4 linked regions of the Canis lupus familiaris genome follow. The protein of the gene in region 2 interacts with the protein of the main gene of each other region in a biochemical or structural test. Links are inferred from orthologs where the notes say so. Each region holds a gene or a part of one and is shown on either strand. Other genes may lie near its edges. The genes, in order: RFWD3, RPA1, ATR and PRPF19.

Region 1 (7,587 bases), on a different chromosome or scaffold from region 2:
GCTTCATAGTCGTGTCCAGGTGAGTCTGCCCTTTCTAATCCAGAGAACTTGGAGATAGGAATGGCAAAGGGATCTAAATACAACTTTGGTTCATCTCACATACAAGTAAGAATTTACCAAGTTTTTCAGGAAGTAAGCAAGACTAACTCTTGATTCTGTTTTTGATTAAGAGCATTTGTCTGAAGCGTATACACTTTAGGATCAATCCTGCAATTTGAACTTTTAAAAAATTAAACAGCCCACTGATAATTCGAATTTTAAGTCATTTTACCTCCCTGAATGTACCAATAGAATGAGGGCTTTAGACAAGATGCCTAGTAAAGACTTTCAGCCCTAGTATTTTATGATCTGTGCTCTCTTTAGTTCAGCTGCTTGTTAAAATACTGTGAAAACTGCAGCAGTGCTCTGGAATTCATGTCAACATTTTTTCCATGTAATAGATAAGAAATGTCCCCATGTTAAATGAAGGAATTATACATGAGGGGAATAGCAAATGGAAAGGCTTCACATTTACAAAATCTTTTTCGTTTTAGGACTTGCAGAAACTTATCGTGCAGCATCGGGAGCAGATTTCACAGCACCCCAGGGGCTCCCAAGCATGTTTCCCAAACTGCCTGCCCTCCAGCCAGAGCCAGCACAAGTACCATTTCCAGAAGACCTTCACAGTGTCTCAGACAGGAAACTGCCGAATCATGACATACTGTGACACTCTGAGCTGCCTGGTGATGTCACAGCCTTCCCCTGAGGCCTCCTTCCTGCCAGGTGAACAATCCAGAACCTCAGCTTTCATGTTCATTGATCTCCTTAATTGAGACTTCACTGATCTCCTTTTTTTTGTAGAATCCAGGACTCACTAGTGGGTGACCACTGGCCATGGCCCACCAAATCAGCTGTTCTAGTCTGTTAATGCAGATGTAGCACTCTTAAGGTGCTACAAAGATATCTTTAGTGTCCCTTGGTTTCATTCTGTAAATATATTAACTAAGAGCTCAGAAATGCTAATTAATAACTGTGATAAAGAGAAGATGAGGTACTTGGAAGCATGGGTTACTGATATCATCCGAGGAGAAGAACATCCCTATATGTCCTGTTAAAGTCACAGATTGATGGGGGCACTTGACTGGCTTAGTTGGTAGAGTATGAGACTTGAATTTGAGACCCATGTTGAGTTACAGGGTTTACTTAGAAAAAAAATTTTTTTGATAAAAAATAAATAAATAAAGTCAAAGATTGATTTTAGACTAGAAATTTTTAAGATTTTTTTTTTTTAAAGTAATGTCTGCACCCAACATGAAGCTCATACTTAGAACCCTGAGATCAAAAGTCACATGCTCTACTGATTGAGCCAGCCAAATGCCCCTAGACTGGAAATATTTTTAAAAACACTATCCAAAAAAAAAAAAAAAAACCACTATCCAGGGATCCCTGGGTGGCGCAGTGGTTTAGCGCCTGCCTTTGGCCCAGGGCACGATCCTGGAGACCCGGGATCAAATCCCACGTTGGGCTCCCGGTGCATGGAGCCTGCTTCTCCCTCAGCCTATGTCTCTGCCTCTCTCTCTCTCTCTCTCTCTCTCTCTCTCTCTCTCTCTCTCTATCATTAAAAAAAAAAAAAAAATACTATCCAGAGGTGCGTGGGTGGCTTAGTTGGCACAGCATCCAACTCTTGATTTTGGCTCAGGTTGCAGTCTCGGTCCTGGGATTGAGCCCCACATTGGGCTCTGCGTTCAGTGGGGAGTCTGCTTGGGATTCTCTCTCCCTCTTGCTCACTTGTACTCTCGCTCGCTCACTCGCTCTCTGTCTCTCTAAAATAAATAAATCTTCAGAAAAGAAAAGCAAAAATTACTATCCCAAGGGCTAATTCAAGTTGAAACAAGATTTAATACTTATTTTCAGTAGTATTCAAATTGACAAATTCTAAATAAAAGAATTTGGCAATGCATTGATTAAGAATTGATAATAATACGGGGATCCCTGGGTGGCGCAGCGGTTTGGCGCCTGCCTTTGGCCCAGGGCGTGATCCTGGAGACCCGGGATCGAATCCCACGTCAGGCTCCCGGTGCATGGAGCCTGCTTCTCCCTCTGCCTGTGTTTCCGCCTCTCTCTCTCTCTGTGTGACTATCATAAATTAAAAAAAAAAAAAAAAAACAACAACAAAAAAACAAAAAAAGAATTGATAATAATACGGTAAATACTAATTTTTTTCATGTTTGTGCTTTTTAAAAAGCTTAACTTTAGATTGTCTTAATGTTGAAAACCAAATCTCATATGCCCAGTTAAATCATTCTAATTTTTGTAAATGTTTCTTTCCACGATCTTTAGCGTGTGATTTCTCCCAGCTGCAGGTCCTTTGGCTTCAGCCTGATTTCCTTCTTACCCACTTACAAATTCCATTCAAATGCTTCAAAACTGTGTCCTGGGGATCCCTGGGTGGCTCAGCGGTTTAGCGCCTGCCTTTGGCCCAGGGCGTGATCCTGGAGTCCCAGGATCGGGTCCCGCGTCGGGCTCCTGGCATGGAGCCTGCTTCTCACTCCTCCTGTGTCTCTGCCTCTCTCTCTATGTCTATCATAAATAAATAAATAAATGAATGAATGAATGAATGAATAAGTAAATAAATAAGTAAATAAATAAATCTATCTATCTATCTATCTTAAAAACAAAACCTGTGTCCCCCTAAACTTAGGTATATACAGGATTAAAAGTAGATTCCTAAAAAAAAAAAAAAAAAAAAAAGTAGATTCCTAGACTATTGTGTATTTTTCTGTTTACTGATAGCTGGGAGTTGAGAGAAGCTCTGGTTAAGGGGAACATAAAAGAATTGTTTCGCTGAGTGAAGTAAGTCAGTCGGAGAGGGACAAACATTATATGTTCTCATTCATGTGGGGAATATAAATAATAGTAAAAGGGAATATAAGGGAAGGGAGAAGAAATGTGTGGAAAATATCAGAAAGGGAGACATAACGTAAAGACTGCTAACTCTGGGAAACGAACTAGGGGTGGCAAAAGGGGAGGGCAGGGGGTGGGAGTGATTGGGTGACGGGCACTGGGGGTTATTCTGTATGTTGGTAAATTGAACACCAATTAAAAAAAAAAAACAGGCAATTTTCCAAACCAAAAAAAAAATTGTTTATAATGTTTCTATTCCCATCCACATCTTTAATAAAAGATTTATCAAATAAAACCTTTCGTATAAACTGGGAAAATACTTACTTTTTAAATTGTTCTCCCAATTGAGTATGATCTGTTCCTTTTTCCGTAATACATCTATTCCACACAGCATAGCTAGCTCTTGAAAGCCTTTTGGTACTAATATATCTTTGTTTCCTTTGATAATTAACTAGGTCAGTATTCGTGTTCCTTGTTGATTGAAGGCCTGTAGTTTCCCTGTTTGTCTCTCTAGCTCTCCTAATTAATTCTGTTTCAAGAGAAAACACAATAAACTTTTCTCACTTTGTTCCCCAGATAGGCTGAAATGTGACTCAAGGCTATCCTGAATTCTAGGATTTGACAAATTCTGTTTGTGGATAACTTGAATAATAATAGATACTTAGTAAAAATAAATACATTATCAGAGCCTAGGAAGAGAAGAGAGTAACAAATAAATTAAAAAGGACAAGTTTGGGGGGGAATTTTTTTCCCCTTTGGAATGCTGCAAATTGATTAGAATACTTGAAGTGTCATCTGTTTTTATTCCATTCAGATAAATGCCATTTCTTGACCACCTGACATAGAAATCACATATCTCTATTCCTTATTGTTCACTCTCTCTGTATCTTCACTGGCTGTGGATCTCTATATTAATAGCTTTATTGAAATAGGACTGACATGGAATAATTTGCACATATTGAAAGTATATAGTTGGATGAATTTTGATATATGTATATACCTCTGAAACCATCTCCACAATCAAGATAACATACCTCATGCCCTTTATAATCCATCTCCCCCATCTGCCCTTACCCCCTCTCCTCATCCCTAGGCAGCCACTGATCTATTTTCTGTCACTATACATTAATTTGCATTTTTTAGAATTTTACATAAACACAATCATACATAATCATAATCATTTTTTGTCTGGCTTCTTTCAGTATAAAGTTTTGGAGATTTGTCCATATTATTGTGTATATCAATAGTTCATTTCCTTGTATTGCTGGGTAGTTATTCCATTGTATGTTATATACATGTACGTATAGTGGTTTACCCATTCACCTGTTGTCAGATATCTGGAGTGAAATATACTTCTTAAAATAATTATGACCTTGGGGAATTTTTATTTTCTTCGTTTAACCAGCTGTTTTCCAGGAATTTAGATGCCAGGAAAGCTGAACAGAGAGCTACTTGAAAAGGTAGTTTACTTTGCCTTAAATTGACTTTCAGTGATTTCATGCTCTCTCGTCATTGGCAGGCTTTGGCGTTAAGATGTTGAGTACTGCCAACATGAAAAGCAGTCAGTACATTCCCATGCATGGCAAACAGATCCGAGGACTGGCTTTCAGTAGTCGGTCCAAAGGCTTACTACTCTCGGCTTCCCTAGACAGCACTGTGAAGCTAACCAGGTGAGTGCCTCAGGGAGGAAGATGGGGCCTGGGCTTTTAGTGTTGAACTGCATAGAAATATGGCAGTGTTTCCGTGTTAAGATGGCCTTAACTCTTTTTTTTTTTTTTTGGTCTGAGGCGTTGTCTTCTGAGATCCAGAGTCATTGAATTTTTTTTTTTAAGATTTTATTTATTTATTCATGAGAGACACAGGCAGAGGGAGAAGCAGGCCCCATGCAGGGAGCCCGATGTGGGACTTGATCCCGGGTCTCCAGGATCAGACCCTGGGCTGAGGGTGGCACTAAACCGCTAGGCCACCCGGGTTGCCCAGGGTCATTGAATTTAAAATGTATTGCTTTTCAAAGTAGATACAATAGGCTACAAAACAGTATATGCAATGCCCTGTTTCTTTAAAAATGATCTGTATCACAACATACATCTTAAGCCAGGCAGATGAGAGAAACACCCTAGAGATGGTTGAATGACAATATGGAGGGAGCCTTGGTACTGGGCACCACGAGGTTACCTACCAGCTTGGAACTGCTTATTCCTGGTCTGTTACTGGGATCCTCCTGCTAAACAAAAATACTCTCCAGGAGCTTACTGTCTTGAGGTGTCGTGATTTCTCTCTCATCAGTAACCCTCAGTTACTGTATTTTATCCTTCATGTGCCCTGCAACTGCTATGACCCAGATCTGAATGTGCTGAGTGCCTTCATCTTTTAGAAAGTAGTTCTGATCAGACATCTGATGGTTGGCTTCCTGTTCTGCAGTTAAATCTGAGGCACATCATGATATCACTATCAGGCCTGATAAGCCTTCTGACTTTTTAAGAATGCTTCAGCTTGGGACACCTTGGTGTCTCGGCGGTTGAGCTCCTGCCTTCAGCCCAGGGCGTGATCCTGGAGTCCCAGGATCGAGTTCCACATCGGGCTCCCTGCATGGAGCCTGTTTCTCTCTCTCTGCCTATGTCTCTGCCTCTCTGTGTGTGGGTGTCTCATGAATAAATAAATAAAATCTTTTTTTAAAAAATGCTTCAGCTTAGCCCCAAAACTCAATATAACATTGTTTTATATTTATGTATGTGTTGTGTTTTTTCCTAGTGGTGTTAAAAAATAGGTGAAAAAAGTGCAGGTTAAACACCAAAGTGACATTAATGACTACCTCTGGGTAGTTATGGGTAGTTAGTTTTGTTTTTCTTGTAGGTAAATTCTAATTTTTTAGCGTTGAATATTTTACCATTGAATACCTGTATTATAGATAATTATGGAGAATTGAGGTAGAGTGGGGAATGTGCTGTTTAAATACCTTTTTAACTTATTTTATTTTCCTTACATTTCAAGAGGAAAACTTACATCCCCCAAAACAAATAATTTGTAATTAAAAGGGGTTACTAGGCAATCCCTAGAGAAACTTAGAAATCCCAAAATAGTTTGGATGTGTGGGTATGTTCTTAAGATTATCATTGGGGGCATCAGGGTGGCTCAGTCAGTTGAGTGTCTACCTTTTGCTCAGGTCATGATCCCAGGGTTCTGGGATTGAGCCTCACATTCAGCTTGCTGCTCAGCAGGAAGTCTGCCTCTCCCTCTCCCTCTGACCTCCACTCCCCCCCCCCCTTTGTGCTCGCTCTCTCACTCTCTCAAATAAATATCATCTGTTTTTTTAAAAAGATTATCAGTGAAATGATAATTTTTATATCTTTTTATATATTTGATTTTCTTAATGCGTAATTGTAAAACTCCTATATCTCCACAGCCTAGAGACAAATACAGTGGTCCAGACATATAATGCAGGACGTCCTGTCTGGAGCTGCTGCTGGTGTCTTGATGAAAGTAATCATATCTATGCCGGTCTGGTCAATGGTTCGATTCTGCTGTATGACCTTCGAAACACGAGCTCTCATATCCAGGAGTTAGCACCCCAGAAAGCCAGGTAGGGAGCCACTTACTTTTCCCTGTAGGTAGCAGCTTTCTGTTGGATATGAATCCTCTCTTTTGAGAATGTTTACATTTGGTCAGAATTTCTCACAGAGGGCAGTTCTCTGAGTCCAGTGATGTCTTCTCATTTTGGACTCCCTAAGATCCTTTGTATGTGTTCATGATATTTCTACATGGTAGAAAGTCCTAGTACCAAGTACAGCCAGGTTCATACAGTCACTCATCACCCAACATGGCAAAATGAAGTCAGATCTGTGTTCAAAACCCAGTTCTACTGCATAGGAGCTGTGTGACCTTTGTCACGTTTCTTGGCTTGTTAGAGCTATTGCAGAGGAAGAGATCAGTAAAAGGCCTATAAAAAAAAATGATTTAAAACTTCCCTAACCTCCAGCTAAACAAACTTGGTCTAAAGATACCATGTTACTATGATTTATCATTTATAATCCAGTTACAGAATTGGGAGATTTTTAGAGTCAGCCCAAATTCTGAGGATGGGTGGCCACCTGCACCACTATGACTCTTCAGAATGTGTTGAGTACCATTTGGGTGTAATATTCTCTTAAAGGCATAAATTTCTCAAAAGGAGAAGTGGTGGAGTCTGACTTAGGCCAAAATGAGAAGTATCTTAAAAGAGAATTTCTATTTCCAATGTGAATATATTTTGAAAGGGGGGCAGGGGATCTAAACAGAAAGATACCACTATAGTAACGATACAGTAATTGGTTACTAAACCTAGGCTCAGCACTTTGGAGTCTTTTCATTTGGGTGGGGTAGACTCATGCTTCAGTTATGCGGGCCTGAAGACAACTGATGTAAACTTTTACAGATGTCAACTCCTAACAAACACGCTAACTGCCATTGATGTAGAGGGATCCAGACGGAGTAGGCAAGAACATGGAGCAAATAGCAAGGAAAGGGTATTTGTATGTAATGTTCATTTCTGCTTTAGTTTGCTTCATTGTGATAGGGCAATGAAAGAAAGCAGACCAAGTGACCCCTTTGGCAACTTCAGCAGAAGCAAAGTTCATAGGAATATAGTGGCAGGCTAATAACTTCTGAGAGAATTCTTGGCATACAGTTCTGGTCATATGCTTGCAGAAAGAGATTTAGAATATGTCT
Region 2 (7,587 bases):
TAAATGCAGACGATAAGGAAGCGTGATGAGCCCAATGATTCACCAGCTGCCCTTATGTTCACACCAGGCAATTACGTCATATTTGGGAATCACTGACAAAATGCTAGAATACGTCATGTTTTCGAGTTGCTTGTGATTTGATTTTCAATTTTACTTTTCCATCAGTCAAAATACTATAGATGGGGGCAGCTGGTTGGCTGGCTCAGTCAGCAGAGTGTGTGACTCTTAATCTTAGGGTTCTAAATTCAAGCCCCACGTTGGGTGTAGAGAGTACTTAAAACAAAAACAACTATAGATGGATAAGAAACTTATAACAAAGGGCTGAAATTTTAGCCAACTGATAGATTAGACCGATAATCTGGTAAAAAAATTAGGTTCTGATATTGATTCTGCCACCATACAGTCAGTATATTTGGAGTATTGGGCCATCTTCCCAAAACAAACAACAAAAACAAACCACCTATGTTTTCTACCCTCTCAGAAGTTTGAACCACTAGGAAATATGCAGCAGCTTAAAAATAATATGTCAAGTACATATTAAGAATTATAAACAGAACAGAGAAACAGCTAACAAGACTGTTGAGATTCTACAACTTGGATTTTTTTGTTTCTTCATCATGGTTTGGTTTTGTTTAAGTGAAGCACAGAGTCTGCACATGCAGAATCCACCTCCCACAAAACCATTCACTTTTCAAGGTGGCTGGTGCATGCCTTCTGCTGTGGCCCAAAGAAACACTTTGCTTATAAGCAGACATCACTTCTTAGGCCTTCAGTTTAGCCTGCAAACAGGTCAGACAGAGTGTCTTTGCTTTCTCTTACTCATGAGGCTGCTCAAACAATTAAAAACTAAATTCTATTGCTATAAATGCTTAGACTTGTGTGACTCTTGATCTTGGGGTCATGAATTCAAGCTCCATGTGGGGTGTAGAGATTACTTAAAAATAAAATCACTAACATTAAGGATTTTAAAGGCACCTGGCTGGCTCCATTGGTACAGTATGTGACCTTTTGTTGTTGTTGTTGTTGTTAAAGATTTTATTTGTTTTAAGAGTTGCATGCTCTAGAGGTGCCCTGGTAGCTCAATCAGTTGAGTGTTGGACTCCTGGTTTTGGCTCAGGTCATGATCTCAGGGCTGTGAGACAGTCAGTGGGGAGCCTGCTTGAGATTCTCTCCCTCCCTTTCTGCCCTCCCACTCCCTGGCTCACACCCTCTTTCTCTCAAATAAATAAACAATTAAAAAAAAATTGCATTCTCTATGGACTGAGCCAGCCAGCCAGGTGCCCTGAATATATGACTGGTGATCATCATGAGTCCAAGCCCCATTTTGGCATGGAGCCTACTTAAAAAGAAAAAATAAATTAAAAAACAGAAAAACATAACATATAATAAACTAAAAGGATTTTATTTAAGAGCTTTAACCCTCTGGGGCACCTGGCAGGCTCAGTTGGTTAAGATCCAACTCTTGACTTCAGCTCAGGTCAGGATCTCAGGGATGTGAGATTGAGCCTGGTGTCAGGCTCCAAGCTGGGAGTGGAGTCTGCTTAAGGTTCTCTCTCTCTCTCTTAAAAAAAAAAAAAAAAAACCCAAAAAAACTCTCTCTCCCTTTCCCTCTGCCCCTCCCCCTATACCTCCCCTTCTGAAGAAGAAAAAAAAAAAAGACCTTTAACCCTTTGCCCCCAGACAGCATTAAAAGCCTACAGAGGAGGAAAAACAACAATATTCATGTTTATTTTTGGCCTACTGCTGTTTTTCATCACACAGGCTTACACAGAGATGAGCTCTCTTTCTCAGACTACTCGTATTTTCCCACTTGACAACTACTCACACTTTCATCAACTAGTTCTATGGAAAAAAGCTTCCCTTCCCCTCGGGAATTGCTCCAGGTACGGATCTGACTTTTGTTGGTAACTCGAGCACAGATAGTCCACCTAAAAACCAAATAGATTATATTAGTACTCAGGTCTTAACTGGGAAAGATCTAAAAGGTTCCCTATTATCTTCCTATAGCCTTTCTTACCTTATGCATATTCCATTTTTCAACGTAAGCTGTATTTTAATCCAACTGATTAAAACCCCAAGATGACATACAGGTTTGACAGTTTATAGAATAAGCAAGTAATAAAACATATCAGATGATTTAACACTAACTCATTCTCCTGTCAAATTAGCAAATTTATAAACGCTCTCCCTTCTCCAAAAAGCAACACGAAGGCAACAGTATCCCCTTAATGAAAGGTTCTAAGCTAGAAAATGCAGTAATAACAGCAATTATATTTTGCCACTATTTTCAATTATGGGAACTGATCAAACTGGTGTCAAACTTCTGTCCATTCTAGCCCACAATGAATATAAATATGGGACAGTGTTGGTAAGCCACCAAAAGAAAACACACTAAAGCAGTATGACCTCAGACAGAGGCCACTAAAAAAAGGAGGTACAAGATCCAATATCCAGTCCTGGTGCCGATACTGAACGCAAGTGTTGGGCACATTGGTTACCTTACTCATTTTCCCTGCACTGCAAAGAATTGAAGATTAGATAACATATCTAAAAGAATTCTGAAAAGAGAACTGATTTTCAACTGCTAAAATTAACTTTTTTTTTTTTAATTTTTATTTATTTATGATAGTCACAGAGAGAGAGAGAGAGAGAGGCACAGAGACACAGGCAGAGGGAGAAGCAGGCTCCATGCACCGGGAGCCCGATGTGGGATTCGATCCCGGGTCTCCAGGATCACGCCCTGGGCCAAAGGCAGGCACCAAACCGCTGTGCCACCCAGGGATCCCAAAATTAACTTTTAATGGAAAAGAATTATATATATAACTAGTATCTGTTCAGGGTATATTAATATGGTTATACAAACAGTACAGATTCTCTTAGTCAACTAAATCACAGTAACAATTTTTAGACTAAAAGTCACTTATATATCATAGAAGGTGAAATGCCTTCTGAAATACAACAAATATTTATTTTTTCTCATAAGACAATAAATGGATTCTTTAAACATTAAGTATTTTTCAATTAAAATTCTTTCAAAACAAATGAAACTCTATAGGCTATTGTAGATTGTTTTTCTTGCCATTCTTTCATGGTAAGAGAGTCAAAGGTCACCACAATTTGTACCCTCTTTCTCCTTTCAAGGAAAAAAAAAGATGAAATTTATTTTATATATGGTAACCCTGAAGTTCACACATAAATACCTCAAGAGCCCATAATAACCTCTAACATCATATTGTAGGTATATCCTGAGCTTACTCTATGGCGTAACTCACTTGGATTGGTAAGGAGTAAGGCTGGCAATGGGCACCACTTTGACCTGTGTCCCTCCAGAACTACTCGCTAGGCTGGTACCTCCAGGTTTTCCAAATGTCTTTGAGGCACTGTAAGTCTTAGAAGCAGTGAAACCTTTAAAAACAAACACAAAGGAGGATCATCATTATTCTATCTGAATTTTTTTAAAAGATTTTATTTATTTATTAGAGACAGAGAGAGAGAGAGAGAGAGAGAGAGACAGGCAGAGACACAGGCAGAGGGAGAAGCAGGCTCCATGCAGGGAGCCCTATGTGGGACTCGATCCCGGGTCTCCAGGATCACACCATGGGCTGAAGGCAGCGCTATACCACTGAGCCACCAGGGCTGCCCTATTCTATGTAAATTTTAAACAAATGTTGTAATAACTCTCAATTACTGAGATGTCACTGGTGAAATATAAAATGAAAGCAAAACTCTGCCTTTTTAGTAATCAAAGAGATATGGAGATTACATAGAGACCACAGACGCCTGGGTGGCTCAGCAGTTGAGCCGTCTGCCTTCAGCTCAGGGCATGATTTCGAGGTCCTGGGATCAAGTCCCACATCCGCTCCCTGCAGGAACCCTGCTTCTCTCTCTGCCTCTGTGTCTCTGACGAATAAATAAAATCTTAGAAACAAAAGCAAAAAAAAAAAAAACAAAACAAAAAAACCCAAAAAACAAACAGAGACCAAAACAGGAGGCTAGGAAAGTAACTGTGAATGAAGCCTGGGCACACAGAAGCTTACTACTTTATCTGTTGACTTAAGCTCTGACTGAGGTCAAGATAGTAATTCTGGTGAGTCCAGACACTGTTCTGGCCCATCTTTCTTAGACTGTCCTCTTGTATCAATGGGCAAGATAATGGGTTAGAGAAAGAAAATCAAGCAACCTCCTTGACTGGTAATACTGACAGTAAGTCACTAGTTGCATAAGAAAAAAAAGCAAAAGGAAAGGCTAGGAGGTAAGGCACATAATGGATGAACCATCTGAGGTGAAGGGTCCTACCACAAATATTTTACCTCAAACATCCTCAGAAAAATGTTTTCTTTCTTTTTTTTAAAGATTTTATTTATTCATGAGAGACAGAGAGAGAGAGAGAGAGAGAGAGAGAGAGGCAGAGACACAGGCAGAGGGAGAAGCAGGCTCCATGCAGGGAGCCCGAAGTGGGACTTGATCCTGGGTCTCCAGGATCAGGCCCTGGCTGAAGGCGGTGCTAAACTGTTGAGCCACCCGGGCTGCCCTATATGCAGTTTTTATGAAGTTTCAACCTCCAAACTCAGAAAACAATTCAGTCCAATTACTTCATATCTTCTCTACCAAAGCATTTCTTTAGGATGGAATTTGGCTGGAAATGTAAATCTACCATTATTCAGCATTTCTTTATTGAGTTTCCAAACCTGTAAGACACCATTCTAGGTATTTGCAGTATTTAGTAAAAACTATACAGAGACTGTCCTGGATCTTAACATATTCTATTCTAATTGGGGAGTCAAGAGAAAACTACACATACGACAGTAATAATTGCCTCAAAGTTATGCAAGAAGCACATGAACTTTGAAGAATATATGCATGTGTACATATACCTAATATTATCTATAAGATATAGTTTTTTTTTTTTTTATAAGATATAGTTCTATAACACACATACACACACTTCCCCTCAATATAGTCTTCTTTTCTTTCACCACCCAGTTGATGTGTGTTTAGACAACATTAATTGATTTTTAAAAATAAATGTTAGGGACTCATTGGTGGCTCAGTTGGTTAAGCTTCTGCCTTCGGCTCAGGTCATGATCCCAGAGTCCTGGAATCAAGCCCCTGCAAGCAGGGAGCCCTGCTTCTCCCTCAGCCTCTGCCACTCCCCCTGCTTGTGCTCTCTTGCTTGTTTCTTCTCTTTCTCTTTCAAAAAACAAATTAAAAAAAAAAAGTTAATATAAGCCAAAGATTGACAATTGGGAAAATACATCTGTGGGAGGAGGGAGAGGAATAACATACTACTTGTAGTTCAGCCTAAGGAAGTGACTAATTATTAGATTATTCACCACTTTAGATACTAAATCTATTTCATGACCTCTTTCAACAGTACATAACTTGCAAGTTGTATATATAAATAGATCCACTTATAAAAGGAGATAGAAGATAAGATTGACAGATATTGCAAAGTAGATAAAAACATAAAAAACCAAAGGGGAAAAAGTCCCATGTCCTCAAAGTTTCACAGTAACATTAGTGACGTCTTAACCTTGCTTTTCTTAAAATTTCAGCACTGAAAATTAGTAATTAAGAGTTGAGGGGAGAAGAGGTGGGACATAAGAAGCTGTGACAGAAAAAAGAACCTCTAAAAATAAATCCAACCCAAATCCTCATTTTTAATAGTTCCTCAAGTGAAGGGAAGAAAGTAAACAAAATGATTCCATTACAGTCTCTCAGGACCGTATTGCAAGAGACAGGTAAAGGAAGATTTCTCATCCATGAGACTGAGAAACAGAACCTAGGACCAACATAAATGATACCATCTTCACGTTAAGATAAATACCTATGAGAACCCCGAATGGGAAACTTGGAGAGAGACAAGTGGATTCCAAATAGTTAAAAGGCAAGAACTTAAAGGTATGTAAATTCACAAAGTCAAAAGAGTGTAATAAAATGTAGGATGTGAGAAAGTACCAAATAAATTATTAACAGAGAACAGTATATCATTCTGATGAAAATAGGCATATTAAGTATCTTTAAAAGACTATCTTTAATCATTTCTTCAATCACACACTTTATAGTAAGAACTGGAATTCCCCTCTGCAAGAACCAACTATCATGATCAGGATTTTGAAAAATTCCCTTTAGTCCCAGATTAAATTTCAAAACATTATTCAGAAGCCTGATACATATATCTAGCACATGTCTTCATGTGGCCATTTACCCATTGCTGAGCTCCCATTCTGTTGCTGGGGCTTGTTGGCTGGTGGATTGGCTGCTGAGACTGGAGAAGGAACTGCCTGCTGCTGCCCATGTCCTGAGGACCAAAAGAAAAACAATTTTAGTGCAAATAATTCAGGCTAAAAGATTTAAACTTAAGTAGAAGAAATACTCTGAGAAAATGTAAATTTTTTATTTTGTTAGACTCTCATGGGTCAGAATTCATGCTGGGGTATTCAACTACATGCAGTCCATTTGCTAAGAGTTCACATCTGTTTTCATTATATAAAAGGTTGGCTCCATTTACCTTTCACCTGCTTATAATTGAGTTTTCGGATTTTTAAAAAAGATTTTTAAAAATTATTTATTTATTCATGAGAGATAGATAGAGAGGCAGAGACACAGGCAGAGGGAGAAGCAGGCTCCATGCAGAGAGCCCCATGTGGGACTCGATTCCAGGACCCCAGGATCACGCCCCAAGAAGGCAGATGCACTTAACCACTGAGCAACCTTGGCGTCCCAATAGCTTTCAGTTTTAATGAGGTTCTCCCCTAAAGTCTTGCCCATTTCTCCTGCATGAACCTGAAGTCAAGTCACTGGCTGAATCTGTGACATCATCACTATTTCCATAGCAACAGATCGATGCCATCAACATAATTGTGTTCAAGGTAGGATCTATCAGAAGAAAAAGCTGGGTGGTAAGAAAAGCCTAAAAGCAGTTCAATTGTCTCTGAAGTGCTCCTGCTTCAAAGGAAAAGGAGACATTCAGAAAGGATTCTACCCTTTCCTTCCCAAACAAAGCAACCTTATTTTGCAACTGACAGTTGATGGAAAATAAGAGTTGAAAGAGCCTTAGGTACCGTGAAGTGCTAGTGAACTGTCACAGCAGGAAGAGATGAGATGGAGTTCAGAAGCAGGTGTGTCAAGGAAACAGAAAGATTAAAAGGAAAGGAGGGGAAAGGAACAGGTCTCTCAAGCGGAAAATAAGAAATCCCACACCATGAGACTATTTATTTGCCCCTCACCCTTTCTACAAATGTTTATGAGTTGAAGAATGTTAAAACTGCAAAATATACCCAATTAAAAATAATTGATTTATGGAATTTGATTTTGCCTTTGTGAGGGGCACTGAAAGCAGAAGTCAACCTAATCCAGGCTGCTCACCAAGAGTACCTGCAGCACAGAGTACAGCTCAAAAAGATTTCCTAGAAAGTCCTAGCAACAAAATGGCGAGGACTGATGAAAGGGCTCCCTGCCTGCCTTTTCCAATCACTAGGCTTATTCCTGCTGGGTTTCCCAAAGCCCTCACTGAACTGGGCCTACTAAACACTGACTTCATTTCCTTCTACCAATATTACTCTTAACTAGTACAACAAAATGAGA
Region 3 (8,299 bases), on a different chromosome or scaffold from region 2:
AGATAAAATGATTTCTGGAATTTACTTCAAAATAATCTGAGTTGAGAGGAAGAGAGCAATGAATTGATAATCATTGGGCTAAAATGAGCAACTGATATACCATTTTCCCTTCTTTTGGATTTCTGAAATTTTCCACAATGAGACTTTAGTAAAATATTAGAGAAAATTGGTTCAGCGACTGGCATCTGCCTTTGGCTCAGGACATGACCCTGGAGTCCCAGGATCAAGTCCCACATCAGGCTCCCTGCATGGAACCGGCTTCTCCCTCTGCGTGTGTCTCTGCTTCTCTTTCTCTCATGTGTGTGTCTCTCATGAATAAATAAAATCTTTAAAAAATATATTAGAGAAAAGTACATATATTGACTATTAGGACCAATCAAGAAAAATAAATATTAAGAGGAGATATAGGGGGATCCCTGGGTGGCGCAGCGGTTTAGCGCCTGCCTTTGGCCCAGGGCGCGATCCTGGAGACCCGGGATCGAATCCCATGTCGGGCTCTCGGTGCATGGAGCCTGCTTCTCCCTCTGCCTGTGTCTCTGCCTCTCTCTCTCTCTCTCTCTCTATGACTATCATAAATAAAAGAAATAAAAATTAAAAAAGGGGGAGGGAGTAATTGCAGATGAAGCTGAAGAAAAACTGTATCAAAGCTCAAAGAAGCAACTAAAGAGTTTCGATTTTGTACTGACAGCAATGAGACACTGAAATGTTGCAATTAGGAGAGTGAAAGGTAAACTTTTTAAAACCTGAATTAAATTGTTATTTTCCTGAAACCATTCCAAAGGTTTCCCATTGCACTTAAATTTTCCTTATTTTGGCCTATAAGATACTAAAGGATCTGGCCCATGGTTACTCTTCCACCCTTAACTCACACCAGTCCCTTTTTTGCTTCCTTTGTTTCGTCCTTCCTATTCTTTAAAAAGTAAGCTCATTTCCACCTGGAGACTTTTAAACTTCCCATTCAATCTCAGATACTTCTCCCAGTTCACATGACTGGCTTCTTCTCACCATTCAAATCCCCTCTAGTGGCTAATGTTAATGCTCCCTAGACTTTCATCTCCTACCCATTGCCCCATTTAATATTTTAATAGCAACTATCATTATCCGAAAATACCTTGTGGTCACAAACTAATTTTAAACAGAAAGCCCAGAGAAGACCTCTCCAAAATGAGATCTGAATGAAACTGGTCTGTTCAGAGAAGAAACAGCAAAAAGCAAAGCACTGAAAGTAGGAATGACCTTGGGGCATACAAAAAATAAGGTCAATGCCAGTGGAACAGAGTAAGGGAAGGATATATGGCCATGAGGTCAGAGGCAGGCAGAGGCAAGATTATGTAGGACCGTAGGGGTCTTGGGAAGAAGTCTGGATTTTAACCTAAGTGTGCTGGAAAACTAAGAAGGTTTTAAACAGAGGAGTAATGCTATATAATCTATAATTTATAGTTGTTAAAATCATTTTGGTTGCTGAGTGAGAAATCCACTGAGTGAGTGGGTAACATGGAAATGGAGAGATAAGCTGAGAGGTTACAGTAATAGTCTAGATAAGAAATGACAAGAATAGCGGCAGTGACAAGTGTATTTTAAAGGTAGGATTGTCAGGACTTGCTGATAAGATTTTTTGGGTATAAGAGAAAGAATCAAGAATTCCGGCTAGCGGTTTAGCGCCACCTTCAGCCCCGGGTGTGATCCTGAAGACAGGGGATCAGAGTCCGGGATCAGAGTCCCCCATCAGGCTCCCTGCACGGAGTCTGCTTCAGCCTCTGCCTGTGTCTGTCTGTCTCTGTGTCGTGAATAAATAAATAAAATAAAATAAATAAAAATTCCTGGGTTTTTGGTTGGCACATTTACAATAACCTGGGGCAGGAACCAAGTTTAAGAACATAAATCAAGATGTAATGATGTAAATTTTCATTTCAGGTACAGATGTTCAACAGTAAGCAACCTAATATCTCTGGGTAGATAAATATTTGGGAGTTATCAGAATATAAGTGATATTTAAAGCCATGGGACTACATGAAGTTACTTAGGAAGAGAGTAAAGATGAAAAGAGGACAAAGGATGTAGCAAAGTCACATGGGGAATCAAGAATGATTCCTACATTTCTGGTTTGGAAAACAGAGTGACCATGGTATCACTTACTGAGATGTCCCTACCTCAGTGAATGAGAGGGAAAAAAAAAAAAGGGAGGTTAGGATACGTGAAGAAATTGTATTGACTATGTTGAGTCTTACACTTACCAACTAAGCCACCCAGGTGCCCAGCTATGTTGTCTTAATGGCATATAGGACACCCAGCTAAAACTGCCAGTATACAGTTGTATAAATATCCTATAGGAGGACACCTGGGTGGTTCAGCGGTTTAGCACCTGCCTTCGGCCCAGGGCATGATCCTGGAGTCCTGGGAACAAGTCCCTCATCTGGCTCCCTGCATGGAGCCTGCTTCTCCCTCTGCCTGTGTCTCTGCCTCTTTCTCTCTTTGTGTCTCTCATGAACAAATAAAATCTTCAAAAAAAAAATATTCTATAGGAAATGGATATGGTTTGGAGAAACATATTTGCAGTCATTAAATGGCAGATAGTAGTTAAAGACAGTGGATGGGATCACCCTGAAAGACTAGGCAGAGAAAAGAGTGCTCATAGCAAAAAACAGAAGCAAAATTCATCTCTGAGACAGAGCCGCCCACACATTAGAACAGTTAACATCTCACTTTTTTCAGAAATTGAATTGCCAGTCAATTAATGAGAAAAAAAGATGGGGGTGGAGAAAAGGCTTTGATTGCATGAATCTGGAACCCAACTCTGATAATGGCTACCTCTGACTTTGGTTCTTCAATTCCTGTGACTCAGTTTCTTACTGAATAGTGATAATATGTACTCTATTCTACATCATGGAGATACTGTGAGACTGAATAGGCAGGAATGAAGCAATTAAAATGAGAAACTCACGACTGTTAAAGAAAAGTAACGTAAGCTCCGGTGATGTAAGAGACTATAAATAAATCCAAGATACTATTATTTTTATTAACAACTCTCATTATGGAAAAAAAAAAAAAGAGGGTAGAAAGGCATTAGTTAATTCTACATGAAAACAAAATAGGAAAAAAAAAATATTGAGCTTCACATTGAGCCTCAAAAATGAAATCTGTACTTCAATGTCCTAAAACGAGCGCTTGTATTCATGTTAGTTTATAAAATGTTAACACAAAGTAGGCTTGCAACATTCATGCAAAGCGGGGAAAAAAAAAAAAAAAAACACAAAAACAGGATGATTCGGTAAAAACAAGAGTGGTTTCTTCATTTACCCTCTTATTTATGTGATCGAAGAAGACTAAATATTCTTGTATGGCCAACAAGTGGAGATGAATACATCTGCACCCCAAAAAGAAAGGAATTAAATACCCCACAGATTTTCTGTTAGCTCTGACTTTGTGTGCTAAGTTTTCAAAAAGCAATTACTCCAACTGATAGGTCAACTGCACTAGTGGTACAAACCCACTTATTTCTTCTTCGCAATGGGTTAAAACTCAAAAAAAAAAAAAAAAAAAAAGGCAAGCAAAATAAAAACCCTCCCTCCTTTAGGCCTGGTTGAGGGAAAGTTGCCAGTGTGCTGAAGGGGGGATGGCAGCCAGCCAGCAACAGCCTTCCCCTCTCTTCAGGTGGGACGGTGGTTTACGTGATTTTACTGTTCCGTTTACAGAAGGCGGGCTTTTGCAAATGAAACAGTATTGAATTATTTTTAAACTCTGGCAACATCTTGTGCACATTTACATTTTGGGGACGTCGTGGCAGATCCCTGGGATTTCTGACTAAAATAAACGGACTGGGCGCTGGATGACCAACAGGAAACGGGGCCCATCTTCAGGACGGCCTATGCTTTCATTTTGAAGAAGACCAAACTGCCTTTTCTAGCAATTGGCCTTCCTTCCACACCACACGAACCAGTGATTCTTTTCTTGTCAAAGAGGGGCAGTTTGGGTCAACACGTAAAGCTAAGAACCCAATTCCTCCACGAGCGATCACAAGGAGTAGAAAATGGGGCAAGTTCCTGGGTCGAGTCCCTCACCTAAGGAAAGAGGTCTGCAGGAAGCGAGCGGTCAGAAGGGGCGGGGGGGCAAGGCTCCCGGGCGCCGCTGAGGTACAGTGGGCTCGGCGAACAGCCCCTCTCGGGCCCTAGACCTGCTTCCCCAACGTCTGCGGCGACGCCCGCGTATTTTTAACCCCGTCTCGGGGGGAGACGTGCTCAAGCCATTGGCGAGACACACCGCCCGGGGCCGGGGTTGAAGGTTTCGGAGCCGGCACGCGCGCGGCTGGGGAGGGAGCGCACGTGAGAGGCCGGCCGGGCCGGGCCGGGCGGAGGAGACGCGGCACCCGGAGCGGCCGGGCCTGGCCCTACCTGCCCAACTCCCGCAGAGCGGGGATCATAGACGCCAGCTCCAGGCCGTGGTCGCCCATGCTGAGGATGCGCGGCCCTCGTCAACCGCGCGGCCGCTGCCTCCCGGCGTCTCCACAGCTACCTCGGGGCTGGGGGGAGGGGAGGGGCAGGCGCGGCGCCCGACGGTGTCTCGCCAGGCCCAAAACTCCTCCCGGAAGCCGCGTTCAGTCACGCTCTGCGGACCGGAATTCTTCTTCCGCGTAGGACCCGGGGGAGGCCGGGGGGCCGGCAAGGGGGCGGGGCCAAGGAGGCGGAGCGCGCAGGGGGCACGTTCCCAGCGCGGCTCCCGCTGGGGGCGTGGTTCGCGGCGAGTTTGGGGTGTTCGCGGGCACCCCGGGCTGCCCCCGTCCTAGGAGGCTCGGCGAGGCGAGACCTCCCCCGGGTTCTGGAAAAGAAACAGACCGGCCTCCCTCGCATCACGAAAGGGAGAATTGAGACCCTCCGGCGGGTGGAAGGCGTGACTCGATCCCGGGCCCCCCCACCCCTCGCCGCGCGTCCTTTTAGCGGGATACGGGGCTCCTCCCTGTCCTTCCTGTTTCGGCAGGGTGTTTTTCCCACGTGAAGTCAGACTTTCTTGAGGCTATTCCCGACTTTTAATATTTAAGAAGGGGTTTCGGGGATCCCCTGGGTGGCGCAGCGGTTTAGCGACGCCTTCAGCCCAGGGCGTGATCCTGGAGACCCGGGATCGAGTCCTGCATCAGGGTCCCTGCTTGGAGCCTGCTTCTCCCTCTGCCTGTGTCTCTGCCCCTCTCTCTCTCTCACTGTGTCTTTCATGAATAAGTAAATAAAATCTTAAAAAAAAAAAAAATTTAAGAAGGGATTTCGGGGATGCCCGGGTGTCTCAGCAGTTTAGCGCCGCCTTCAGCCCAGGGCCTGATCCTGGAGACCCGACCTGAGCCAAATCCAAGAGTCCCACGCCCAAACAGCTGTGCCACCCAGGTGCCAGCTTTTTTAAAGCTTAGATTAGATTGCACATATGAAAAAGTCGACCAACGAAAAAGCAACAGATGTTAGGTATTTTTAGATGATAGGAAGAAAGATTATAAAAACTACAATGTTATGTGGAAGGCAAAAACTAAAATAACACTGGAATTCTGAAAGGCAGTATACATTAGAAACATTGGAAACAATAGAGCTTTGGCAATCCAATTTTATTCAAAAAGTTATTTTTATGCAAGATTTTTTTGGGGGGGTACTTCTGTGACACAAAGATGAGGATGATGAAGTCTCAAGTAGTGTGCAAACTGGATATAGAAGGACATCATAGGAATTCAGAAATTGAAAAGCAAAGCAGAATCTGATGAATGCCATGAGAGAGATAAACATGCATTGGAAAAATATAAGAGGAAGAGATTAAATATACTGTGTGGAGAGGAGGTGGATGAGGAAGGGGCTCCAGGAGAATGAGGCACCACATTCTCCTGGAGATGGATGGGATGAGAATGAGATGGGATGGTGAAGGATGAGGATATGAAAAGACAAAGATTGGAGAAGAGGAATATATTTCTAATTAGAGGCAGCAGTATGAACAAAAAGCATATGGAGGGAGAGACTAGTGGTCCAGTTCAGGTGATATTAGGGAGCATTTCGAGTAGTCCCGCTGAGACCCTTGTACAAACCTCAGTAAGCACTGAAGAGGCACTGGAAGATTTGATATAAAGTGACAGTCAAAGCCACACTCAGATCTGGCGGGAGGGTGCAGGTCAGAACAAAAGGAAGGTAGCAGATTATTTTAAGAAATCAAACTTCTTTAGCAGTATATCAATAAATGAACAATTATTCCAACCAGACATCCTCCCTCAAGGTACCCATTATTTCTCTCCCCCCATTAAACTTTCTGAGTTTATCATATAGGCTGATTCTATTTCCTCACCTCCCACTCAAGTCCTAAATCTACATAAACTATTATCTCTGCCCTACCCACCACCCCCTCTCAAGTGCTTCTCATCAAAGTCACCAACGACTTTCATATGCATATATGGCTAAAGTCAAAAGATACTGATCAGTCCTTTTGTGACCACTCAGCAGCATTTAGCAGTGAGGATATTTTCTTCCTTTGGCCTATGTTACTCTCTTGTTAACAACACTTTCTTTGCCATTCTCTTAACTGCTGTTATTCCTTAGGATTCTAACTTGGCTTCCTTTCTCTTCTTTTTATTCCTAGGTGACTTCAGGCTTCAGTAAACTTTCCAACAGCTTATTACTCCCAAATTCTTTGCTTCTGCTCAGATCTCTCTCTGGGCTTTATATTTATTTCACATGTCTAATTTTTACTGAAATTTTTACCTGGAATTTTTCCCAGGTACTTTATTTTTATTAAACTTTGTATTATGGGGCAGGCCCGGTGGCTCAGCGGGTTAGCGCTGCCTTCAGCCCAGGGCCTGATCCTGGAGACCCAGAATCGAGTCCCACATCAGGCTCCCTGCATGGAGCCTGCTTCTCCCTCTGCCTGTGCCTGTGCCTCTCTCTCTGTGTGTGTCTCTCATGATTAAATAAAATAAAAAATCTTAAAAAAAACCCACAACTTTGTATTATGTAAAGTTTCAAATATACAAAAATGTAGAGGGACTGGAATAAGGAACCACCTTGTGGCTATCACCCAACTTCAACAATTGTTGCATATGGCCAGTTTTTGCTGCATCTATAACCACCCTTCCCATTTGCCTTCTCCCTAGTGGGATTATTTTAAAGAAAATCTCCAGCATCAAATCAATTTATCTATAAATACTTTAGTTTATATCTCTTCAAGATAAGGATTCAATTCTGCCTCTGAAATAAGCAAACCCATCTACTTCCCTCCAAATCCCATCACCACCATTCTAGTTTCAGACCATCACAATTATTCCCACAACATTCTAGTTTACCTCACTTACTTTAGCTTTTCCTTCCAGTCAATTATCTGCACTGGAGCCTCCCAACCTTTTTATTCGTTCAACAGTATCATTGAAATTTTGCATCCTAATGTGTACATATTTATTAACCACATATACCTAGCACTATTTTGTAGTATAAATAAAACTCATAATGTAAATTTGGACAAAATACAACTGTTGACTGGTATCTGTATTCCTCTCACTCCCCTTTTATCATTAGGGAGAGTGGAATGTGGGGAAGGAGGGAGTGAGGCAGGAAGCAGAGAGCTTCAAGTACGTGGGTCCTGGTGTCCTTTTGAGACCTTGGTATTTTCTAAGCCCAGGCAGGGTCTCATTCAAGTTGATACGTGAGCTCCAGCCAATGTCTTGGAAGTTTCAGCCAGCATGAGCATAGAATTGTCCTCACTGATGTTTAAACTAGGAGGGGAAATGACCACCAGGTGGCACCACAACCCAAATAAGAGCAAAATGGACTTAGTTCTCAGATGCCCAAATTCCTGGCTGTCCAGCTCTGCAAGTTCCATCATAATGCATTGGATTTTTTTTTTTACTCCATTTATGGTATTATGCTAGGATTTTACTATATAATTCACATGATAAATATACACTAAAATAGAATTCTTAAGGAAATGAAATATAAACAATTTTACAAGCTCCTTTCTATACTGGAATGGACTTCAATATACAATTCCCTGGTATATTATCCTCAAAAATTTGCATTTTAAATACTTTTTAATTTTCATCTTTCCTAGTTTTATTGAGGAATAACTTACATGTTACTCTGTGAGGTTAAGGCATATAGCATGATGGTTTTATTTGCATAAATATATTTTTAAGGTTTTATTTATTTATTCATGAGAGACACAGAGAGAGGCAGAGACACAGGCAGAGGGAGAAGCAGGCTCCACGAAGGGAGCCCAATGTGGGACTCGATCCCAGGTCTCCAGGATCACAACCTGGGCTGAAGGCAGCGCTAAACCACTGAGCCCCCCGGGCTGC
Region 4 (7,402 bases), on a different chromosome or scaffold from region 2:
AGAAGGCCAGGTGCTGTGGATGAAGAACAACAGTCACTCTTGTTCCCTGGGGCTGGGGATGGCATGGGGAGGGTGTGTGGCTTTATGGCCGGCCTGGATTCAGCTATGTCTGGATTTGATGTTGCACCCTCTGCTCAGGGCTTGCACAGTGCCAGCATTCCTGGGATCCTCGCCCTGGACCTCTGCCCTGCTGACACCAACAAGATCCTTACTGGTGAGAGCCGGCCAGGCCAAGCAGGCCAAGTCGGGGAGGGCAGCAGGGAAGGTGCATGCTCCTGTCCTCTGCATGTCCTGGGGACAAAGTACCTTCTCCAGCAGAGGGACCCAGGTGGGCATGACTCATTTTGGGGTATCATTTGGGTCCTTTCTAGGTGGGGCCGACAAAAATGTTGTTGTCTTCGACAAGAGTTCTGAGCAAATCCTGGCCACCCTTAAAGGCCATACCAAGAAAGTCACCAGTGTGGTGTTTCACCCTTCCCAGGTAAAGGGTTCTGCCAGTCACCCTGCGTTCCTCATTCCTGAGCCTTGTGTCAGCAGTTTAGTGTCAAGGACCCAGTCATCTGGTGCCCCACTGTGTCCTTGGTGAAGTGAATTGGACTCAAGAAAGAGTGCTGAGCCTCCATAGTGGGCACTGGGCCTTTGTTTGTAGTCGGGGATGCCCTATACTCTGTGTAGTCCTTCCTAAAGCAGTGGCCTTCACATCAAGGGGCATAGAGCTTGAATAAGCAAATTCATAGACATGTTTTGTGTTAGGAAAAGGAAAAACCCTACAGTGTCTGTGGTACAAACTGGAAAACAAAGCTCAGCAAAATCTTAGCATACCCAGGAAGGACGGGTTTGTCCACATTCCCATAGTCCTCTGGGATTGGTGAGGGGACTTGATGATGACTGTTGACTGTTGAAAGTGGTGTGGGCTACAATAGATGGAGAAGTGCTGGCTTAGGGGCAAGGGCTGCTCATTAGATGAGATTACTGTTAAAGGATTTGAATCTTCAGGTCTGGCACAGTTTGGGTCTGAGACTATAGGTTAGTGCCTGAGGATGTGCTTCCCAATCAGCCTTTTTCCTTTTCTGTAAAGAAAGTAGAAATAGATAAATAATTTTAAATTTTAAACTTACTCATTTATTTTTTTGCATGTTCTTTTAAAGTAGTCTCTGTGCTCATCGTGGGGCTCGAACTCATGACCCCCAGGTCAAGGGTCACATGCTCCCCCGACTGAGTCAGCCAGGAAGTGTATTTCAAATGGAAAGGTCTCCTTTTCTGCTGAGTGTTAATGGGTTATTTCTCTTATGAAATCCTGTTGACGAAAGATGGTAGTTGGTTCCACCTTACAGTTTTTAATGTCCTAACCCAAATACTTGGTGGGCAACACTATGTAAGTTCTCTCTCTGCCTCAAATTGTTCTGAGGATTAGCTTGCCCTTGCAGTGCTGAAGTATGGGAGGCACTGGAGTATGCCCTTGCAGCCTTTCCCAGGCCAGTGCTGTTCAGTGCCCACGCGATCCCTGACAGTAGCCATTAGCTGCATGTGTCTATTTAAACAAAGTAAAACGAACTAAAACAAGAAAATCAGTTCCTCAGTTGCACTAGCCACGTTCCTCTGTCTTGTTCAGGGAACGGTGTGGGAAATTGCTGTCTGGAACAGCTGTCCTTCTTACCACTAGGTAGTTAGGCCTCCTCATCTAGGCCAATGCTGTTTGATTTACCATTTTACATAGTACTTACTGTTGGCTCTCTTAGGTATCATTAGGTGGGTGGATGGTTTTAGGCAGGACAGGGCTGAAAGAGAAGCAGTTGTTGGGGTTATGGCCGTCCCTGGCTCCCCTTTGTAAGATTGTTATGGTCCATCTCTTCTGCCTTTGATGTTCTGCCTCTTTGCTTTCCTTTCAGGAGCTGGTGTTTTCTGCCTCTCCAGATGCTACTATCAGGATTTGGTCAGTCCCGAATGCGTCCTGTGTGCAGGTGGTTCGGGCCCATGAGAGTGCTGTGACAGGCCTCAGCCTCCATGCCACTGGGGACTATCTCCTGAGCTCCTCTGATGACCAGGTGTGTGGTCCCAGCCCACACCCCGTAGAGGCCAGCTGGTCTCCAAGCTCAGGAAACCTCCTGGGAGGAGGGAACATCTTACCAACACCAGCTGGTTCCCCAGAACCCCAGAGGAGAATGTTCCTCTGCTCGGAGGGGCTAGCTTTGCCAGGGTTTGCCTAATGAGGGCCCCTGCCTTCCTAAAGGGCACCCGCTTTCTTATTGGCTCTGTTGTCTCTGTGTTTTTCAGTACTGGGCCTTCTCTGACATCCAGACAGGGCGGGTGCTCACGAAGGTGACAGATGAGACCTCTGGCTGTTGTAAGTTGCTGCAGAGGGGCTGGGTTCTGTCATTTGATATTTATTATTTATTTTTATGTTTTATTTAGTCAGTTGCTTATTTGCTTTTAAAATACATTTACTGTAAGCCCCTCCCGAATGCCAGGTGTTGGGGTGGGCGCAGTGTGCAGTGTGAAGAGCGAGGAACCTCTCGCTGTGCTTCTTTTTCCTGTGGGCTCTGACCACAACTCCCATCTCCCTCCCCTACAGCTCTAACCTGTGCGCAGTTCCATCCTGATGGACTCATTTTTGGAACAGGCACCATGGACTCACAGATCAAGATCTGGGACTTGAAGGTAGGACATGGGAGCCTCCACCTAAGGCCCAGGCTCTGAGTTCTTGACTATGCAGTGTGATTATGTGCTGACGGCACCTGGCCCTGGGGCTGTCACAAGGGTAGAGAGACCGTGGCGCTGTGTGTGTGTGACGTGATAGGTGTGGTCCGGGGTTCTTGGGCTGGGCCATCTGCTTCCGCTGTTCCTGCTAGTTGACCTTTCATAAAGGCTGGAGGAGGATGGCTCAGAGGTAGGTTTTTGGTGAACGCCATCTTCTCCCCCTCATGACCAGTGGATGACGTTGTGCTATCCATCCTCAAACTGCAGGAGCGCACCAATGTGGCCAACTTCCCCGGCCACTCGGGCCCCATCACCAGCATTGCCTTCTCAGAGAATGGCTACTACTTGGCTACAGCGGCTGATGACTCCTCTGTCAAGCTCTGGGATCTGCGCAAGCTTAAAAACTTCAAGACGCTGCAGCTGGATAACAACTTTGAGGTATGCCCCTCCCTCCCCTGCTGCTCTTCATTTGTACTCATCGAATCATCTGAGCTGCCTCTGTTGATCTCTGACTGCCTCGTAGTTTCTGTTCTCATGTGACCTCTCTCCTGGTTCCAACAGGTGAAGTCACTGATCTTTGACCAGAGCGGCACCTACCTGGCCCTTGGGGGCACGGATGTCCAGATCTACATCTGCAAGCAGTGGACAGAGATTCTTCATTTCACAGGTAGGGTCTGGACTCCGGGATCCCCAGGTCCTGGATGCCCTGGTGCAGAGCAAAGAGGGCAAATACCACTGGGCTGGGAATTTCTAGGGGCAGGCGTGAGTTTGCTTGGGCAGCTTTTCATCACTACCTGAGGCAACTGAGTTGAGTGACTAAGAAAATGAACTCAAAAATCATACTGCTGAGCATTAAATCCTAGCTCTACCACTTCAGGTCCTCTTCAGGTTGTGTGACATTGGACAGGTTACCTAGTCTCTCTGGGGAATGCTAATAGTGCATATTCCATGCGGTGCCAAGGAGGTTTAGATGAGTTTATGTATACACAAAGTCCTCTGTTTAGTGTGTATACATGTAACCTGAGGAAGTAGCTGTGTATATGCGTGTGTACAAACACATACGTAAATAGGACAGCGCCTGGCACATATTAGGGATTTGCCCTTATTCAGCATTGCATCATTCCTGTGGGATTGGAGCCATGACTGAGATCTAGGCCTTGCACTAATGGAATTTCCAATCAGCCTAGAGGAGCAGATGTGAGACAGGTTTACAAATAATCATTTAATTGTTGTGAATGCTGGAGAAGAAAAGTAGAAGGGGTGGCACAGTGGGTGATAGGACTGCTAACCTAATAGCTGTGTGGTCCTGGGTACCTCAGTTTCCCTCTGAGAGCTGTAGCTTCTTCCTTTTTTTTTAACGGTCACATTGATACTGCTTTGCAGATTGTGCCAGTTGGTGACATAGACGTGGCACGCACAGGGACAGTGTGCCTGTTGCACGCTGGAGAGCTAAGCAGACGGCAGCTGTTGGCTGTCTCTGTTGATGAAATTCTCATCCTCATTAGCAGGTTGTGGGCGGGGCCCAGGATGCTTCTCCTGCCCCCACATTCTGCTGAGCCCTGCTCAGTTTGTATGCTGCAGGGGTGTCCAGGCCTAACCGTGACCTTCACTGGGCTCCGGTGTTTTGGAGTTGAGCGAGGCGGGGTAGTGGGCTGGAAGCACAGCCTGGGTTCTGTAGTCGGGGCCCCAGGTGTTATCCTAAACCTAGAAGGAATTTGCTTTGCTGCTTGTGACTACCGGAATCCAGGAAGGTGTGTCACCCAGCCTCTTGTGCCCTCAGCCCACCCCTGCCCTACCCTGTGCCCTAGGTCGGAACCCGTGAGCTAGAACTTATTGACAGACTGTCTCACTTATAAGAAAGGAGGTAGAAATAAATACATATAATAGCATTGAGGTTTTAGATTGAACAGAAAACTCAGCTAAGTTTTTAAAAATAAGGTGAGAAGTGGAAGAATGAGACTATGTCTGCTTGGTCTGTCGCTCTCTCTGCCAGCTCCCAGTGGGTTCTAGTAGCACTTGAACTGAGCAGAATTGCAGCAGCCCCAAAAGCTCAGATGAGGGGCAAAGCTCAGGTGAGGGGCGCTGACATTCCTCTGTTCACTCAGCCCACAACAAGAACTCGAGTGCCTACTGTGTGCCGGGAACTGAGTAAGGCCCAGGGCACAGGTGGTGTGTAGGCCAGACTAGCACCCTGCCCTCGGGGGTATCGGGGTGACTAGGAAACACTGAGCACTGACCCGGGGAAGCCTCACCACTGCCTCTTGTCTCTCTCCTCAGAGCATAGTGGCCTGACCACAGGGGTGGCCTTTGGGCACCACGCCAAGTTCATCGCTTCAACGGGCATGGACAGGAGCCTCAAGTTCTACAGCCTGTAGACCCTGGCCCTGCGGATCTGGGAGCTGGGCCTCATCTCAGTAGAGGGGTAGAATTAGGGTGGGGGGAGCGGGGAGGAAGGGGAGAGACTATTGGGGGAGGGGGGGTCTCTGGGGCGGGGCATTCACATCATTTCACTCTGGTCTGGGTGGTGACCTGAGAGCCATGGCGGCGGGGACCACCCTCATCCATGCCACCTCCAGCCTGACAGGAAGGATCACGGGAGGTAGAACTGTCACCCTGTGAAGGCTCTGGTTGGAGCCCAGGGCCTCTCCCCTCATGGTGTTCATTGAGTTGCTTCAGTTCCTGGGAGATGGGGAGAGGCTAAGCCAAGGGAAGTGTGAAGGGGATGGGCGTGAGGGCTCTTGCAGGTTTTTGTAAGCAGTGATTTAGTTTCATTAAAAAAAGAAAACAATAAATGTAGCACTTTCCTGTGTGTGTCTCTAAAGGGAGCCCCAAGCTGGGAAGGTCAGGGGGAGGGAGCACATTTGCTAGAAAGACTTTTCATGTCCCTGCAGGCCTTGACCTTGTGTTTCTAGGGTCTTAAGGGTCTCACTCGTGCCACCACTTCCTTGTGGGTTTGGCTTCTACAGCAACTGAGAGCAACTGAGACAAGAGGGAGAAGTGAGGGAAGAATAGCTTTTTCTTGCCCATGAGGAAGTGTGAACATATCAGCAAGGACTCTAATGCTGTGGGTGCTACAGAACCTGCCCCAAGCCAACCCAAAAGATTTTTCAAACTAGCTTTTGAATATGGAAGGAGAGCTGGTTCCAGGGAAGACAGCCAGAAGAGTAAATGAACATAGAAGATCAGATATCAAATGCCTCTTGGAGTGAAAGTAGGGCTCCTTGGCTGCTGCAGCTGGGGTGGCTTCTTTCATGTGATAACGAAGCTGAAGTCTTAGTGCTCTGGAGCTGAAATGGAGGAGGGGTCTTGCTGGCAGGGGAAGCTTCTAAAGGAGGGGATGATCAGGGTGCGCAGAGGGGTAGGGAGGAGGACAGGGTGGGGTGGGTGGCTGAGGGAGGTGTTCAGGAACCTGGGGGAGAGCAGTCCAGGAGTGTGTTGGGGGGAGTGGGAACTGTCATGCATTGTGCTGGGGCCCTGGGGCAGTGGGTCACAGCACAGTGATCTACACTGGTGCCTGCAGAAGACTCTGCACATGTTCTGCTGGGTCAGTGGTCCATGGTCAAGAAAGCTTGGGCATGCTGTCCTCTCCCTTGGAAGCTCACAATACTTATTAGCGGGTAAAGCCTTTGAAAACTGCAAAAAAGAAACCCTTTAACATTTGAACCCAGTTTCCACAGACATCTGACTAGGATAGCCTTTGTGCGTGTGTATCTGTGATCATCAGGGGAACTGGCCTTTGGAACACACGCCAAAGTTGTAGCTGTTGCAGACAGCGCTGCGGGGGCACCTTGGAGTGCCAGCCTCTTGTTTGTTCAGGTCAGTTTTACCGCAGGACACCCAGGAGGGGAGTGACCAGGCGGCGTTTGGAATACCTAGAGGTTTTCCCACATTGGCCAAAGTAAGGCCAATTTTGAGTATACCGATTTGAAATGTGTGGGGTTGTCCCTTTTTAAGAAAAGAGCCGTCATGCAGTTACACTTCAAAAGGAGGAAGGGATGGAGCTATGGTTTGCTGGGGGTAGAGCGGCCCCTCCCAAGGTGGGGGAAGGGCAGACTGGACCCTGAGCTAGCCCAGCACCTAGCCATTTGGCTGCTTCCTGGCTGGATGTGAATATGTGTTGTTAGGCTGGTTTCATTTCCAGGAAAACTGCTAAAGAGAAAGAGGGAGGTTCTCAGGGGATCTGTGGGTTGGGAGGGGCTGTGGTATGAAGCATGTGTCCTCTCCATGCTTACGTGCAGTTTTTTGACAGGGGAGGGGCTTGGAGTACATCTCAGAAGATCTCCAAGGGACCACCATCCTGTCCCACCCTATTTCAAACCACTGCCCTGGAACTGGGGCATGGCCCTGCTCTCTTGGCCTTGGAAGCCTCATGTTGGCGTTAGAAGTCCTAAAGTGCTTTCACTCTGTCCTGCCATCTGTCCACTCATCTCAGCTGTGTGCTGGACACTCTATGTACATTCTCTCCTTTTACTCTTGAAACAACCTTGTTTTTAGCTGTCCAGCTGAGCAGCTTCCAGGGAAGACCCATGGCCCTCCCCCTCCCCTGCATTCTGGGCTGTGAGGCAGGAGTGAGGCAGGAACGTGGAATCCCAGCTATGGCACTTTTTAGGCTGGGGCCCTTGGCCATATTATTTGACTTCTCTCTGTTCTAGTTTCTTCAGAAGTTGAGGATACTGTACCTGGGGTATTGTAAGGCTTAGATGAG

The links.
Region 1: the proteins of RPA1 (region 2) and RFWD3 form a complex in vitro, tested with the Homo sapiens proteins (3 studies listed by BioGRID, with this or other methods). The link is inferred for Canis lupus familiaris from reciprocal best matches to the Homo sapiens genes RPA1 and RFWD3.
Region 3: the proteins of RPA1 (region 2) and ATR form a complex in vitro, tested with the Homo sapiens proteins (2 studies listed by BioGRID, with this or other methods). The link is inferred for Canis lupus familiaris from reciprocal best matches to the Homo sapiens genes RPA1 and ATR.
Region 4: the proteins of RPA1 (region 2) and PRPF19 form a complex in vitro, tested with the Homo sapiens proteins (2 studies listed by BioGRID, with this or other methods). The link is inferred for Canis lupus familiaris from reciprocal best matches to the Homo sapiens genes RPA1 and PRPF19.

Annotation. Positions count from the first base shown.
Region 1 is NC_049226.1:76,561,657-76,569,243, forward strand, and holds part of RFWD3 (E3 ubiquitin-protein ligase RFWD3), read left to right. Parts: coding exon 1-19; intron 20-533; coding exon 534-762; intron 763-4,402; coding exon 4,403-4,553; intron 4,554-6,286; coding exon 6,287-6,463; intron 6,464-7,587. UniProt on the Homo sapiens protein: E3 ubiquitin-protein ligase required for the repair of DNA interstrand cross-links (ICL) in response to DNA damage. Plays a key role in RPA-mediated DNA damage signaling and repair.
Region 2 is NC_049230.1:45,954,531-45,962,117, reverse strand, and holds part of RPA1 (replication protein A 70 kDa DNA-binding subunit), read right to left. Parts: intron 6,302-7,587; coding exon 6,209-6,301; intron 3,406-6,208; coding exon 3,273-3,405; intron 1,929-3,272; coding exon 1,826-1,928; intron 1-1,825. UniProt on the Homo sapiens protein: As part of the heterotrimeric replication protein A complex (RPA/RP-A), binds and stabilizes single-stranded DNA intermediates that form during DNA replication or upon DNA stress.
Region 3 is NC_049244.1:38,754,501-38,762,799, forward strand, and holds the start of ATR (serine/threonine-protein kinase ATR), read right to left. Parts: upstream 4,525-8,299; 5' UTR 4,448-4,524; coding exon 4,389-4,447; intron 1-4,388. UniProt on the Homo sapiens protein: Serine/threonine protein kinase which activates checkpoint signaling upon genotoxic stresses such as ionizing radiation (IR), ultraviolet light (UV), or DNA replication stalling, thereby acting as a DNA damage sensor.
Region 4 is NC_049239.1:56,003,335-56,010,736, forward strand, and holds the end of PRPF19 (pre-mRNA-processing factor 19), read left to right. Parts: intron 1-138; coding exon 139-214; intron 215-371; coding exon 372-481; intron 482-1,889; coding exon 1,890-2,045; intron 2,046-2,274; coding exon 2,275-2,344; intron 2,345-2,572; coding exon 2,573-2,658; intron 2,659-2,964; coding exon 2,965-3,135; intron 3,136-3,258; coding exon 3,259-3,364; intron 3,365-4,974; coding exon 4,975-5,072; 3' UTR 5,073-5,493; downstream 5,494-7,402. UniProt on the Homo sapiens protein: Ubiquitin-protein ligase which is a core component of several complexes mainly involved pre-mRNA splicing and DNA repair. Required for pre-mRNA splicing as component of the spliceosome.